Linked DNA regions of Rhinolophus ferrumequinum. The protein of the gene in region 2 interacts with the protein of the main gene of each other region in a pairwise test. Links are inferred from orthologs where the notes say so. Each region holds a gene or a part of one and is shown on either strand. Other genes may lie near its edges.

Evidence for each region.
Region 1: the proteins of PDCD4 (region 2) and EIF4A2 interact in binary tests that used the Homo sapiens proteins (3 or more experiments, as listed by UniProt). The two-hybrid records come from large-scale screens. The link is inferred for Rhinolophus ferrumequinum from reciprocal best matches to the Homo sapiens genes PDCD4 and EIF4A2.

Annotation. Positions count from the first base shown.
Region 1 is NC_046285.1:58,773,791-58,781,813, forward strand, and holds the start of EIF4A2 (eukaryotic initiation factor 4A-II), read right to left. Parts: upstream 3,059-8,023; 5' UTR 3,032-3,058; coding exon 3,003-3,031; intron 2,191-3,002; coding exon 2,133-2,190; intron 2,050-2,132; coding exon 1,917-2,049; intron 1,813-1,916; exon of another isoform or gene 1,744-1,812; intron 1,643-1,743; coding exon 1,503-1,642; intron 757-1,502; coding exon 588-756; intron 483-587; coding exon 373-482; intron 335-372; exon of another isoform or gene 208-334; intron 148-207; coding exon 4-147; intron 1-3. UniProt on the Homo sapiens protein: ATP-dependent RNA helicase which is a subunit of the eIF4F complex involved in cap recognition and is required for mRNA binding to ribosome.
Region 2 is NC_046299.1:16,476,436-16,484,213, forward strand, and holds the start of PDCD4 (programmed cell death protein 4), read right to left. Parts: upstream 3,043-7,778; 5' UTR 2,892-3,042; intron 2,074-2,891; exon of another isoform or gene 2,054-2,073; intron 1-2,053. UniProt on the Homo sapiens protein: Inhibits translation initiation and cap-dependent translation. May excert its function by hindering the interaction between EIF4A1 and EIF4G. Inhibits the helicase activity of EIF4A. Modulates the activation of JUN kinase.

The DNA of each region.
Region 1 (8,023 bases), on a different chromosome or scaffold from region 2:
TACCTCTCTTTCAACGTTAATGTAAAACTGTTTGATTCCTTCAAGAGTCAATTCTTCCTTTTTCACCAGAATTCGAATTGGATCTCTCATGAATTTTTTGGTCACTTCCAATACATCAGTTGGCATTGTAGCAGAAAGCAACACCACCTTAAAAAGACAATGATGTTGTCACACAAGTAGCCCAACTTTCAAAATATTCAAGAAAACATGTTTGAGACCAAGCGTCTCTGTCTTGCTATGGAATTGTGCTAGACAGAGATAGTTTTGCATCAATTGCTGTAAGCAGGGGGAACGACAATAAAACACTTCAGTTGTATTGTAACAATACCTGCATTAAACAATCTCCAGATATGGGTGAAAGGTAAAGCTCACCTGAATACTTGTATTTAATTTTTGGAAAATCTCATAGATTTGATCCTTAAACCCTCGGCTCAACATTTCATCTGCTTCATCCAAAACAAACATTTTGATCCATTTTGGAGCTGTCAAAAACAAAGTCATACTATCACTTCTAGATTCTCAGGGATACTATTTGTGTTTATTTATAATAGCAAAAAAAATGTACGCTCTCAATAGACAGTACTTACAAAGATATCTTCTGTTTAACATATCAAACACTCTCCCTGGTGTGCCAACAACAATATGTGGTGCTTCAGCCTGCAGTTTTTGCATTTCATTTCTAACATTGGTTCCACCAATGCAGGCATGACAAGTTGCTCCCATGTAGTCTCCAAGTGCCAGGATTACCTTTTGGATCTAAAAGCAAAGAGCCTTAATTATTTTCCAGCAGAATTACAGGCTGTGATTAAACTTTTAAAGCATAATGGCAAATATCTGGTCTGCAAACAGCTTTTATGCATGCAACACACTTAACTACTTCCAAGCTTAATATGCAGACTGATCTAACTGCTTCAAGGTAAAATTCCCTTAAAATACTTCTTGTACCTTGTCAAACTTAGGATCCTGTTGCCCCAGGTACCAGCTAGATTTATAACTAAAAACATTTCCTTCGTTACTCTTCATTGTGTAGGAAGGTGTAAATAGTGGGATCAAGCTCTGCAATTACAACCTAGACAAGATACTTTTCCCACAGGGCAGTAACATATAATCTTGACTTTAACAAAGCCTAGCTTTATTAGCGAGGTTTCCTTCAAAGCCAATATAGATAGCAGTGAGCTTTGAAAACATCGTGCACCAGATGCATCACAAACTGAGACAGTCAAGTGATAACATGTCACTGCAGTTTTCATGTTGCACAACTGCATTCAAAAAAATAGGAATCTAGTCCACCCTAAACAGAAAGCTTTGGTTTCTCCATTATAACCCTGTGAACCATACCTGCACACCCAGTTCCTATTTACTTTCAACAAAAACTCCCTGCATGCACGGACAGTTAAGAGGGCTCTGATAGGACCAATTTATACTAAGCTTTAAATTTTTCAGTTGTGAAACTTGAACCTATGCAACACGCAAGCAGTTTTTTTGAACTACACTATCAATACCTGTTGAGCCAGTTCTCTGGTGGGGGCCAATACTAGTGCTTGGGTCTCCTTGAACTCAATCTCCAACTGTTGCAGGATGGAAATAGCAAATGTGGCTGTCTTGCCAGTACCTGACTGAGCTTGAGCAATCACATCATACCCTAAAAAAAGTAGGATACATATTTACCGATCCCACATCAAAAAGTCAATTCTAGTTCACACCATGTATTCCATTTGGAACATGAATTATGCCCAAATAATTAAGTGATCAGCAATGAGTATTCTCTTCATTTCAGGTCAGTCCCGAAAGATGATTGCCATCATTTCACTTTAAGGAATACAAATAGGTGCTAGACCCCCAGAAGTTATTTTCCCTTTTATGGTGCAGGTCTATGTAAAACAATGAATTTTTTTTAAACTGCCGAGTTCTTTTACCTTTAATACAAGGAATAATAGCTCTCTGCTGAATAGCTGAAGGCTTCTCAAAACCATAAGCATAGATGCCCCGAAGAAGAGACTCCTTTAAATTCATATCGTCAAAGTTATCAACAATTTCATTCCAGTTGCTCTATAAATTAAAAATAAGTAAAAATAAATAGTATGAACAAACTCACCTTTCCAGAATTTCAAAATCCACACACAATTTCTTACCTCGATGACACCATCGGGGTCCATTCCCTCTGGGCCGCCATGTTCTCTGCAAAGAACACTGCAGTTAGATTAACAAGCCATCCTAACTGCACATGAGGGGATAGCCCTTTACAACCAGTCTATCAGGTTACCCTCCTCCTGCACGTGTGCATTTCCTACTAAAAAAGCAATGGAAGCTGGTGGCACAGGGCACATAATTTACTGTGCACCTGCCCAAAGGTTGAGAACGCAGGACGGACGGCAAGGCCCCACGGACACTGGCTTTCCCCCAAGCCCTTGCGCCAGGTGCTGCCGTCTCGGCGGCGGGCCGTCTCGCGAGAGGTCCACGCGCTGAGCTCCGCCCCTAACACTGCGCAAGCCGGGGTGATTGACGCGGGCCGAGGCCTGGCGAAGGCCATGCCAACGGCTCGCCGAGACCCCGTTGCTGGTCTGGTCCCAGCGCGCCTTTTGGCCGCGGCGAGTGGGCGCCGCTGTCACCCTCCCCGCACCCCACCTTCAGTCTAACATTTCAATCGCGCGGTTCGCTGCAAATAAAGCTTTGGGCCCCGGTTACACTGTACCGAATGCGGACTGCGCCACGGCTTTAACTAAGTGTCGGGCTCCGTACGGGCAGGGGAAGCAGCCGAGATCTAAAAGGATCTTCAGGAAAAAAAGACACCCTTCAACCACTCCATTTTCGTACCCTTATCTCGTGTCCCCTCGCTCAGGGGCTCTACCCATCATGGAAGCTTCTCGAAGGACACAGGGGTACCTTACCCCAAGGAAATGCCTATGAACCCGGCGTTCCCTGACTCCACGCCAGCTACTACAATTTCCTCTGGCGCCATTTGACCTTCACCACAAAACAGCACCAACGAAAATGCCCTGTACCTGTTATAATCCGCGGAGCCACCAGACATGTTCCGAAAAACCACTCAGCGCCCGACTGAAAAGACAGTCAGACCGCCCCACCCGTTTTTTATAGGCTCGTGGCCGGAACCCGTTTTCTGCGGAGGAATTTTCTCGTCGTTCTTCATTAGCCACAAAATTGTGGCCCTGGTGTCCTTACCTCAGAAAGTGTCCTCAGAAGGTCGGTGGGAAAATCCAAGTTGGTTATGTCAAGATATTACAGGGACGCTGGGAATCCCAGGACCGTAGGAGAAGGATGGGACTCTTTGCTTGGCGGCGGAAGAATATTGCAGCAAGCGGCGCCGACCCGCGTTCCCCTCCCTCCCTGCTCCTACGGGGTTTCCGCGTCCCTGAAGCAGAGGCGGCCCCGGGGAGCCGGGCAGGACCGGGAGGCGGAAGCCCGAGGCGCGCTGCACTCTGGCTGGCCCGGGCGTCCCCGGGGGCAGGAGGGCCCGGGCTCATTTTTCGCCGCTGGCGCTTGGTGCGGAGAGGCAGGCACCTCCACGTTCTGCTCTAGAGGGAGATCGGGTTTTTCCGCCCGATTAAATAGCTGCGGGGAAAGGTTATTTAGTCAGACGGTAAAGAGCCGCTTGGCTTTGAGCCCGAGCGTTTAACATCCGTTCCGATTGTAAAAGTGTGAAACTCTTGCTAGGGAAAATGTCGGCCACCTAGCACGTCCCAGAAAACCGGGTTTACCCTGTATTGTGCAGGGCGAGAAAAACCGTGTGTCATTTGCAAATGTCTCTGGAGTAGACAATTCGATTCTCACGTTGCTTCTAGTCTTCTCTCGCTCTTTAAAATAATGCTAATAATTTTAACAGGTGTGAGGAATACCTGATAAAGTCATTGTAAACTTTTGCAAACATATAATAGCTAAGGAGGATTACTTTTCCTTGTAACGCAAGAATTTAAATGGATGCTTCTGACAGATACAGCTCCTTGCTGCTTTGGGACTAGATAGGTTTTGACTCTGGTCATTAAAAAAACTAAACAAATTGAATTTAATTGCTTATACATTATGAATATTGATTTGCTGAAGATGAGAGCAACACAACCCTTGCTGCTTGAATAAACTGCCTGATTCTTTAAGCTCCTTGAAGTTTTCAACTGTAGCTCTAACCGAGGCCTGTTGGTAAAAAAAAAAAAAAAAAAAAATGTATTTAGTATTTAGTCATTTAACTTTAAAATACAATCCTACACATGCTGCAAGATATCATCACAAATATTCAGGAAAACATTTTCTCATTAATTCGGAAGACCAACCAAAAGTCTGATAACTGTAAAAACTGACGCTTAATTTTCTACATTTGTATATCATATTTGATATATTTGGTTATAAATACCACATGTATTTTTTAAATCATTAATTTATTTATTTGAAAATTATTATCGTGCCAGGAACTGTGACAGAAACTAATACCATGATCACAAAGTGGACTTGGCTGTCAGTCTAGTGATGCTATCCATCCCCCTGTAATGCTGAAATGCAGATTTGAGGTAATGCCAGACATTTTCTAGGAAAGGAAGTCAGAGATCCTTATTGTCTCATGTAAAACCTACTGAAAAATCTTCTGGGATCTAACAAAGTGGAGAAAATACTAAATCAGGAAAGTGACCAACCATTTAGTCTCACTTAAGTCTTTAGGGTGAAATCACTCAGTCATAGGGTGAAATCAATTAATACCTCATGGTTGAGTGTTTTAGGTTTAGCACTACCATTGCAAGCTGTGGAGGATTTCCAGAGTCTCTTAAGAGGAAATAATCGAAGGCTAATCTCTGGTTTAGGTCACAGTGGTTCAAGTTGTTTTAAGGAAAGAAAGTTTCATAATTTAAAATTCAGTCAAAATCCAGAGCCTGCAACCCTACAATGTATTTCTAATGAATGGTGTGCTCACCACATTTGTATTTGCTTACTAAATAGCATTAAGTAATAAATGAGTTAAAGACTTAAAACATACACAAGTTTTGCAAATCAATTTAGAGCATACTCTTGTACCGTTGAGATAAATTTTTCTACTTAACTGAGATCTGAAATTAGATAGCCTTCTCGGAGACAACCACAAATGCTTTGGTGCTAACCTGGAGTCTGGAGGCCATTTATATTTCAAATGATGCTAAAAATCAGATTCCTTCCTTATGTGAGCCCCCCTAGTTTAGATTTGCTCTTCAGTATCATCAGCTGACAGTCCTAAACCCATCTAGCAATTGTAAGCCAATTGTCACCAAATGAATCAAGGAATTAGTACAAATTTGTCAGTATGACATGGAAAAACAATAACAAAACCTTTAAGAGTATGCTTTATGTTGTTAGTGACATCTTTCTATAGAAAATACCATGTATTTTCATCATTCAGGGAGTGTTGTGTGCCATCTTGAGGTTCTCACATTATTTCAAGTCCATCAATTGATTTGAAGTGATAGCTGTACATTTAAAGCAGTGTCTTGATAAGCTTTTGATATGCAAAAGTTTGTTAAGGTATGTGTTTTGGATCTTCAACTCATTTATTACTTATTAATGTCATTTATTATTTAGCAAACACCTAGTATAATACATGCTGTCCCTCCATCTATAATTTAAATGTTTAAAAAGAACTGCCTTGAGCCGGATAAAGACAGTAGTACTACTCATCTCTTTCAGTTGCTGGAGGAAATTAGAGGCTAGATTGTGCTTGAATGTAGGCAGTGTCCACTGAAGCAATTTGGAGGGTGACACTCAGTGTCATGTGCTTTACAATAACTTTTAAAGCCATTTACATAAAAATAGGTAAAGATTTTAATAGAGTTGAAGAAAATGGAGAAAATTGAAGAGGACCATGGAAAGGACTTGAGCTATGTAAAGACTGAGTTTAAATCCATTAATTCAAGATTATTAAACTCTATTGTGTAACCAAGATATGATTAGACGTTTTTCTAGCTTTACCCTTATAAAGACTAAAATAAAAATACATTACTGTACTTCAATTCAGTACATCTATAACTGGTATGCATAAAAATCAAAGGGGAGATGTATTTGAAAGGCAGATACATGTGGACTCTGCACTCCCACCCAGATTCAGGAGATCTGATCTGAGGTGGAGCCAGCTTTTTACTTTGAAAAATTCTAAACTTAAAGAAAAGTTGCAAGAATAAAGCAGTGGATACCAAGTACTTGTTACACTTACCAACTGTTAACGGTTTAATACATTTACTCTCTCTCTTATATTTATCTATGACTTTTTTTTAACTTTCTGAAAGTCACAGACATAGTAGTGTCATTTTATTCCTAATAAAGTAATTCAGCACTGCATCCTAAAAACAAAGATATTCTCCTTTCGTAAAAACCAAACAATCCTATTAGAACATGAGCAAAAGACATGAAAAGACGTTTCACTGAAGATGATTTACAGATGACAAATAAGCACATGAGAAGATGTTTAGCATTATGAGCCATTTGAGAAATGCAAATAAAAACCACAGTGAGATATCACTATACATCTACTGGAATGGCTAAAATAAAAAATAGTGACAACACCAAATTCCAGCAAGGATGCCGAGAAACTACATCAGTCATACATTGTTAGTGGGAATATAAAATGGTACAGCCACTCTAGGATCAGTTTGGCAGTTTCTTAACAAAAAACTAAATGTGCAACTACAATATGATGTAACAGTTTCACTCCTGGGCATTCACTCCTGGGCATATGAGAAATGAAGACGTATGCTCACACAAAGATTTGTGCATGAATGGACATAGCAGCTTTATTTACAATCGCCAAAAGCTGGAAAAATTCACATGTCTTTCAATGGGTGAATGGTTAAGCTGTGATTATATCTATACCATGGAATACTAAGTAATAAAAAGGAAGGATCCGTTTATTGATACACACACAACCTGGATGAATCTTTAGACTATTATGCTGAGTGGGGAAAAAACAAAACAATCTCAAACGGTTACATACTACATGATTTCATTTATATAATATTCTTGAGAAGACAAAATTATAGAAATGGAGAGCTGGTTAGTGGTTGCCAGGGTTTAAGGAGGGGGTGGGGCAGTACAGAAGTGAGTGTGGCTATAAAAGGTGAATAAGAGACATCCTTGTGGTGAGGGAAATGTTCATATTTTGACGATATCACTGTCAATATCCTGGTTGTGATGTATTGTAGTTTTCTAAGATGTTACTTACCATTGGGGGAAATGGGAAAGAGTACATGTCTGATCTTACAACTGTATGTGATCTACAATTATCTCAAAAATTAAAAGTTTAATTAAAAAATAGAGGTGCTTCCACAATCTTTCCAGCTCTTAGTCAGAGAGGCCCAGAGATAATGCCTACCCAAGAAGAACCCCAAGTTCAGTTCAAATTTGTATTGGTTGGTGATAATGGGACTAGGAAAATTACATTTGTGAAACATCATCTGACTGGTGAATTTGAGAAGTATGTAGCTACCTTGGGTCTTGAGGTTCATATCCGTGTGTCTATACCAACAGAGGACCTATTAAGTTTAATGTATGGGATACAGCTGGTCAGGAGAAATTTGGTGGATGGAAAGATGTCTACTACATCCAAGCCCAGTGTGCCATTAAAGTGTTTGATGTAACTTTGAGAGTTACTTAGAAGAATGTGCCTACCTGGCATAGAGATCTGGTAGGAATATGTGAAAACATCCCATCATGTTATGTGGCAACAAAGTAGCTATTATGGACAGAAAAGTTAAGGCAAAATCAATTATCTTCCACCAAAAGAAGAATCTTCAGTTACTTTCTGCCAAAAGTAACTACAACTCTGACAAACCCTTCCTCTGGCTTGCTAGAAAACTCATGGAGACCCCAACTTGGAGTTGGTTGCCATGCCTGTTCTTGCCCCACCAGAGGTTGCCATGGACTCAGCCTTGGCAGCCCAATGTGAGCATGATCTAGAGGTTGCTCAGACAACTCCTTTCCCAGATGAGGGTGATGACCCGTGAGAAAGGGAAGCTGGAGCCCAACATCAGAAGTCTAGTGGTATAGGCAACTGTCCTGT
Region 2 (7,778 bases):
TAGAGTTACACTTTTAACTTATAAGCATAAAAGAATTTTTAAAAACATTTATACAGATACAGAATTAGTACTACACTTGTACAACGTGCATCCTTATTTTTCCCTCACAAATTAGGGCAAAAAAAGTGTGCATTATACATGGCAAAATACGGTAATCCTTGGTCTACTAAAATGCTACCAAACTGCTTCAGAAATTAACAAAATGGTGACATCACTCTAATTCTGTTCAGAATAAACAGACATATGATATTGAAAGATATTTATATAGAGTCACAATTTGCACCAACTCTGGATTTGGGGGGGGAAATAACCTTAGAAACATATGCACCTAGGTATATGAACAAATAGTTGGCAAACCTCAACATTGAGAGTCCTCCATGGCTGAAAATGCCCTATCTATTTCATTTCAATTACAGTGAAGTGAAAAGGTTATATAATGTGTGTATGAGTTTTTTACACTACAGTTACATTAAAAAGTTCATACTTGATGCAAGTATAATCTTTTGAGAAAATACTTCTGCAGAACCTAGCTAATAAAGGAAATGAAGTGATTATAACTGGTTTACAAAGCCCTTTATAATTCAAAATGAATTTTACATGCATTATTTCATGTACCTCTCAGAACAATCTTGAGCTAGGTACCCCACCGTGCACACAAAACAGATTCAGAGAAGGTAGGTGATCTGTCCAGAGACTCAGCTGCTCAGTGGAAAAACCAGAATTAAAAACCTAGACCTTCTAGATCCAGGTCTGTTTGCACAAGTTCAATACAAGATTTTAGTATCCCACAGGAAGATTCTTTTTAAGGTTAACAGAGAAAAGCTTATGAAAACATAAGACTCCTACTGTTTATATAAAATTTTTATATACTGCTTCCCAAACATTAAAAATAACATTTATTTTAAACTATTATACAGAAGGCATTCAGTTGGGCGAAGAAAATGACCAGGTAATGACTATTACCTATAACTCACCAAGTTTGTTTTTATTAAGTAATCATAAAATAGCCATCTGTGTCTTCAGGCAATGATAACGCAATCAAGAACTCAGTTACACTTGAGAGCATCACAGAAGTTTTAAGAGTTTAGATAATGATAAAGGTATGTTCCATATTTTAACTTGCTTCAAAGTAGGGGGGTTTTTATCTAGTTTACTTAACAACCCTTAAAATTTTTGCCCCAAACTTCAGAAAATGTAAAGCAAAAAAATCTAAATTCCACATCCTTCATACTAAACGACAAAATTAATTTGCAATAAGAAAACAAAACTATACATAAGTTAGACAAAATTAAGGCTGAAATTAAACATTGTTCTCATTTCTCAAAAGTTTCACAGAAACATTCAATCAGAAGTATTCAACAGCCACACCATTCCCTTAAAAAGCCTCATCCTCCCCCAACCCCCCAAAAATCTATTTCCTGAAATATACCTGATAAACGCTCTGACAATTTTTGGAGTCAAGGTTAGTCCCCATGTTAACTAGAAAATTATTTGTATTCATCCAGGGTTACAATCACAGTTAATTAGCAACTTAAAATCAACTGAAATTATTTAACCACAATGATTCAAAATTGAGCACTACAGAAAATATCAGTGTCATTTATTTAATGCACTCCTAGCAACTATTTTTCTTATTACTACAACAGAAAAAAAAATCAAAATATAATTCAAAGATGCCTGCTGAAATATTAAGGAATTTAATAAACTTATAATGAGGGAAAGTTAAGGACATAAATACCAATAATTACATTTAGAACGTATCTGCAGTGGTTCCTTTTTTAAAAAAAAAGTATACGGTGGTTTCCTAAAAAGCCTTACATTCGCAAGAAAGCCAAAATAACTACAACTCAACAGTGAAAACACAAGTAACAACAGGCAGGGGTTCCCCCACCCCACAAACGAAGCTGCATTTTTAATCGTTTTAATCATCTATTGTAGATAGTACACCGTTGCTGGCTCTGTAGCCAGTTGTCTCAAGGACACCCGGAGACCGGCGATACTGACGCCGCAGACCCTTCTGAAGCTCTTGTAAAAAGAAATTAAAAACCCTCACTGTGTACACTGCAGCACCAAATTGACAAATGCAGCAGACACAGCATGCATCTCACAGAAAGGGGGCTCCCTTCCTGTCTTTGTTTTCTCGGGGAGATTTCATTTAAACTAGAAAAAGACAATCCTTTGCCGGAGGAGGGGCGCGGCGAAGTTAGCGCAGGGCCGAGCGGCGGGCACGTGTCCGCCTCGCAGCGCCCGCCGGAGCGCGCGCGGCCCCATCCGTAGCGGCCGGGCCCGCTTCCCCGCCGCCGACGCAGGCCCGACCGGCCCTCGGGGGGTGTTGGGCCGGGCCTGGGCTCCAGGACACCGGCAGGCGCAGGGCCTGGGTCTGGGTCTGGGCAGGCCCGGCCGGGGGGCGCCTCTTCAGTGGGCCCCCAAGGAAGCCAGGGGGGCGGGGCGGGCGCAAACCTTCCTCGCAAGATTTCAGTCAGGCCAGAAACGCGCCTCCCGACGTCCCCCACCCCAAATAAAAATGAAACCTTGGCCTTCGCGGGGACGAGGAGGAGACCCTCGCCGAGGGGCGCCCCGCGCGCCCGGCTAAGCGGGGAGGGGGTCCGGGCGGAGGCGGGCCCGCGCCGCCGCGCTCCGGGCCCGAGCCTAGAAGGAGGGAACCGGGGCCGGTTCTCCGTAGCCCGGGGCGTTGGGGCCGACGCGGCTGGGCCTGCGGGGCTCGAAGGAGGGGGCCGGACCCCCGCCCGCGGACCTGGACCTGGCCAGCCGGGGCCACGGCCTCCACGCCCCCTCCCCCCCCCAACGTGCGTCTGGCTCCGAGGAGAGACCGGGGCTTGGGGAGAGGGCGCAGTCCTCCCCAGCGTGCGAGCCGCGCCGCAGGTACTGACCCCTCGGACCGCCGCCGCCGCCGTTCGCCCAAGTCCCTGGTCCACCGGCCTAACCCCAGTCCTCAGCCTCTACGCCGCCTCTGAGAGTCTCTGCCCCTCTCGCTCTGTTTGTTTTTGTTTTGTTCTACCCAGTAACACGGGGGCGAGAGGTCGGCGTTTATTGGCCGAGGAGAGGAGGTCGGCTGGCCAATCGTGGAGGTAGAGCGGGAGCTGCGGAGGAAAAGGGAGGGAAGTGAAACGTGGACAGCTGGGCAGGGGCGCAGGAAGGCGCATGCGCATCTGGCTCCCCGGATTCGCGGGAGTGGGAGCTGGGCCGGCAGCCCGAGTAGGGGGAGCCGGGGAGGCGCGGTGGGATGGAAGCGTGGGCGAAAGGGCAGTTCCTGGGGGTGGAAACTAGGCTGAGACTCCCTTGACATGCTCACCTATTCCCTTCACACGGCAGTCAGCAAACTCTGCTAAAGTAAAGTAAAGGCTTTGGGCTTCCTGAGGTTCCCTGCCTCCAAATCGGGACACTCGTCGGGAATACGCTTAATCTTGACAATTCCTTCTCTAGCTGGCTCCTGATCACTTCTTGGTTCCTACAGTGTGCAAACTCCATGTTAGGGACTATCTCAGCAAATGCTGTCAACCGTTTGAGACGGAAATCACTCCCATTTCATAGATGAGGAAACACTCAAAAACTCTTTGAAGTCCCTTTACCAATCATAACTAATCAGGCCACAGGGCTTCAAATTCACACACACCTGACTCCAAGGCTGGGTTTCTCAACCATGACTATAATTTCCTTATGGAAATTTCTGCCTCCCGTGGCCGTTCTGTCTTTTCCTCATGGCTGTGTTCTCCTTAGCTAGTATTTTCCTCTCATTCTTCCTAGTTCCCTATCCCCTGAGGTAATGACCAGAACCTTCTGCTGTCTCTGTGCTTTAAGAAGACTCGATCAATATTTAACAGTCATCTGATATGCAACACCTGAATAGTCTGTTGGTCTCTCCAGAACCAAACTGCCTTCCCCCTGGACCAGGCGAGCTTCTGCCCAGTCAACCTTCCTGGGAATCATCTCTAATATTATTTCTCTGCACACACACACACACACACACACACACAAAATTCACTAGCTTCCCATTGCCTGCCTGGAGCGTGAGTACCTCAGCCAAGCATTCAGGGCCCCTCAGTATAACCTCCAGGCCACGTCTATCCACACCCCTCCCAGCCCCCACGCACCCTTGGCTGGAACCCACTTGGACCACTCACTGTACCATATGCTTCCCCACCTCTTGATGGTTCTTTATTATATCACCTTGAAATGTCTCTCCTCCTATCTCCCATCATCGCCTGATCCAATCCTCTCCATGCCTCATGGCTCTCCACCTAGGCCTTTTTAGCCTGGTGATTTGATGTGATCTTCCTGTCTCCTGAATCCTCACAGTATTGCCTCGTTGTACCTCGGGGGGCACTGATTACATTCTACTTGGCATTATGTTATCTGAGTCCCCGTCCTAGCTCTTCTCTCTGTTAGACTGTCACCTTGTTGACGGCAAGACCTGGGTCTTACTCATCTGTTATTGTTGTAGTGCTTAAGAAGACGCCTTGCACATGTATTATACCCGTGAAGGAAGTACAGCTTGAGCTGAGTTCACAGTGGTTCTCAGCAGTTGGTGCTCATCCCCATCTCCGGGCAGGTGACTCCTGGCATGGTCAGCATCTGAATTAGCCTCATGAGTCACTCTTACTTTCTGAAAGCAAAGTTTCCTGGTCACTCAGTTTTGTTTTTCAATCACCTGCAGCTGCTATCTCCTTCCCTTTCTCTGCCAGGGCTCAACTATTCTCTGCTGATCAGTGACTACTGGTTCCTTTTTTTTCATCCACCCCTCTCTTTTTCCACTTTTTTCCTTTTCACACTCCTTCTCAGTTGCTGACCCTTTCCTTTTTCCTCCCAGCCTCCAACCTCCTCTGACCCCTGCTAGGTTCTTTCATTTACTCATTTATTAAGCACCTATGGAATATCCAGGCTGCAATGGGCAGGCACCCTAAGATCTGTGCAATAACAAAAGAGTAGGATACAATTACCCATTTTTAAAGCACCTGAAACAACCTCTATCTTTTACCAAATTGCCCCAAAAGGACTCACTGTGGAGTAAAATGTTCATATCCTTTTTAACCATTTTCTCGAGGACTACACATGATGACTGGCATCCCAGAACCCACCTTAGGGAATGCCCCTCTAGTTGGGTGTAGTTGACCAGGCAGTCAGGAAATGGGATTCTAGTCCTAGCTCCCCCACTAATTACCTGTAAGAAGTTCAGCCCCTCTCAGGACCTCTGTTTTTTTCACCAGTAAAATTCAGAAATTGGGTTCAATTAGTAATTCCCAAGGTATTTTCTAAAGAACGTGAATTTTGTTGAACTTTAACGGATATCATAAGAAAAATGGGGAGAGACTGTTCCATAATCAAATCGACTTGGAAATTGTTTTAACAAAGTTAAAACTGCTTTTCCCCCAACTCTTCTCAGTTTCTTTAATAAGCTAATGTGCCTTAAGAATCTTCTGGAACCAGAGTAGGAAGCTAAGTAGCGTTTCCCCAACTTATTTATACAGAACCCCCCTTTTTTTCCAAGATACGCAGAATCAATGTTACTTAGAAATTAGTTTGGAAAATATAGATGACAGCCACTATCACTAACATTCCTTCCAGCTGTATTGAACACTGGCCACCTGCCCCTTTCCTAAACACTAAAATAGAATAAAAAATTTTTTAAAAAATAAGCTTGCAAATGGAAAAGTATCCAAGTGAGAAGAATGTTTGCCCACCAAATCAATTTCCAAATATTTATTGTATGCCTGTTCTGGGAAAAGTACAGAGCTGATTAAGCTTTGTTTTTGGCCAAAGGTATCATTATATTCTACCTTATGGTAGGTAATGTCTGCCCAGGCTTCTGAGCCACAACGTACATTTTCATTTCACATTATAATTGCTCACAAATTGATTTTCTATTTCCTGAAGCCCTGTGCCTATGGGCTTATATTAATTTAGCTGCTGGGTGAGAGAAAAGGAGAGAGCCCTTCTCCTTAACTGAGGGGTGTCCAAACTTTTTTCAACGTTTTTTACCAAGGGCCATATGCAGTAAAATACACAAACAGCCGGGCCACTCACTCGAGGTGAAGTACGTATTGCCTCACCTGGTTTATTTAAGTAAACTAAATATATTTTTGGAATTTGCTGCGGGCCAATAAAAAATGTATTGCGGACCGCAGTTGGCCCGCGGGCCACAGTTTGGACACCCCTGCCTTAACTCATTCTACCCAGAATGATGGAATTACAATTTCCATTTCCCTTAAGAATAACCCATTCCAGGGGCGGCAGGTTAGCTCAGTTGGTTAGAGCGCGATGCTCGTAACACCAGGGTTGCCATTTCAATCCCCACATGGGCCAGTGTGAGCTACGCCCTCCACAACTAGATTGAAACAACTACTTGACTTGGAGCTGATGGTTCCTAGAAAAACACACTCACAAATAAAAGTTTAAAAAAAAAAAAGAATGACCCATTCCAGTTTAGGAGAAGAAGGGACACTAGTGTTGTCCAGGATGAGATAGCTCTTCAGAGGTGGCAATGGAAACTGCATGCTGTGTGACAGACATGCATAATGTCTTCCCTGCACCCCATACCTCTCAGGATTAAGCACTATTGAGATGCCCAGAGGAATACAAAGAAAAGAATGTTTGGTTTGTTAGGGTGTATATGGGTGAAGATGGAGGATAGTTTCTAGTTGTTGCCTCTTAAGTTATTATGTCCCTAACTAACTGTGTTGCTTTGGGCATTTCACTTCCCCTCTCTGGGTCAACTGAATGCTTCAATTTCTTGCACTGTGAAAGAAGGAGTTAGCCACGGCAGGTAGTCCTTAAGGAGCCAATCGAGTTCTGACACCATGTGATGGTAGGCAAGGCACTGACATGGCACTACCAGAGTGGTGGTAGTGTGGGACAAGAGAGGGTTTGCCACCAGTGGCAGAGGAGAATTCCACCAAGTGTGGGCAGAAGGGCTGTCACTCTCAACTCAAGGGCTTTCTCTGAATTCAAAGCTCAGAGAATATCACATCCCTTCAACCCAAAGGTGAAAGCAAAGAAAGTTGATGTAGGGTTGGGAGTGCTAATGAGTCAATGTGGGTAAATTACTTGGAAATGCACAGATGCTAGGCAAAAGATAAGCACCTCAAATTACTATTGTCCTTGGAACTCTCCAAGGCCTTTTCGTTGTTTAGGCAAAGCCGCATTTGAGAACCCGAGTTCTGTACTAAGCACTGAGGCCAGAAGAGGCCATCTCCGTTTGAGGACTGAGAGAGGTCTTAGCCCACTTCCTTCCAAAGAACTTTCAAATGCTACTGTCATTTACAACAACTTCATTTACCTGAGCTGACATCCTGTTTCCTCAGACCAAGGACTGAATTTTTAGGAGTTCCTGTAAGGCACTGAATGACTCCTTACACAAATGGTAAAAGACATGAAACTTGCTCTGAAGAAAGAGAACTGAATAAAGAAGTCTAATGATGATAATGATGCTAGCTAACATTTGTGTTGTGTTTTAAGGCTTATTGAGCACGTTCGCCCCCTCCCTATGAAGTAGAAAAGCAGATATTACTCTCTCTGCTTTAAAGAGGAGGCAAATGAGGCTAAAGTACGTCACTGGTAATCAAGGGACTTTTATGATAAAAGGAAATGTGGGAATCACTAGTCCAAACCCTTCATTTTACAAATGGAGAATCAGAGACCCAGAGTCGCCCAAAGCCACACAGCTGGTTGGTAGCAGAGCCAAAATGTAAATGAGTTCTCAGTGTGCTGCTGTTGCACATGTTGACAGGGGGAGTCCAGACCTTTTCACACCCAGGCCTGGG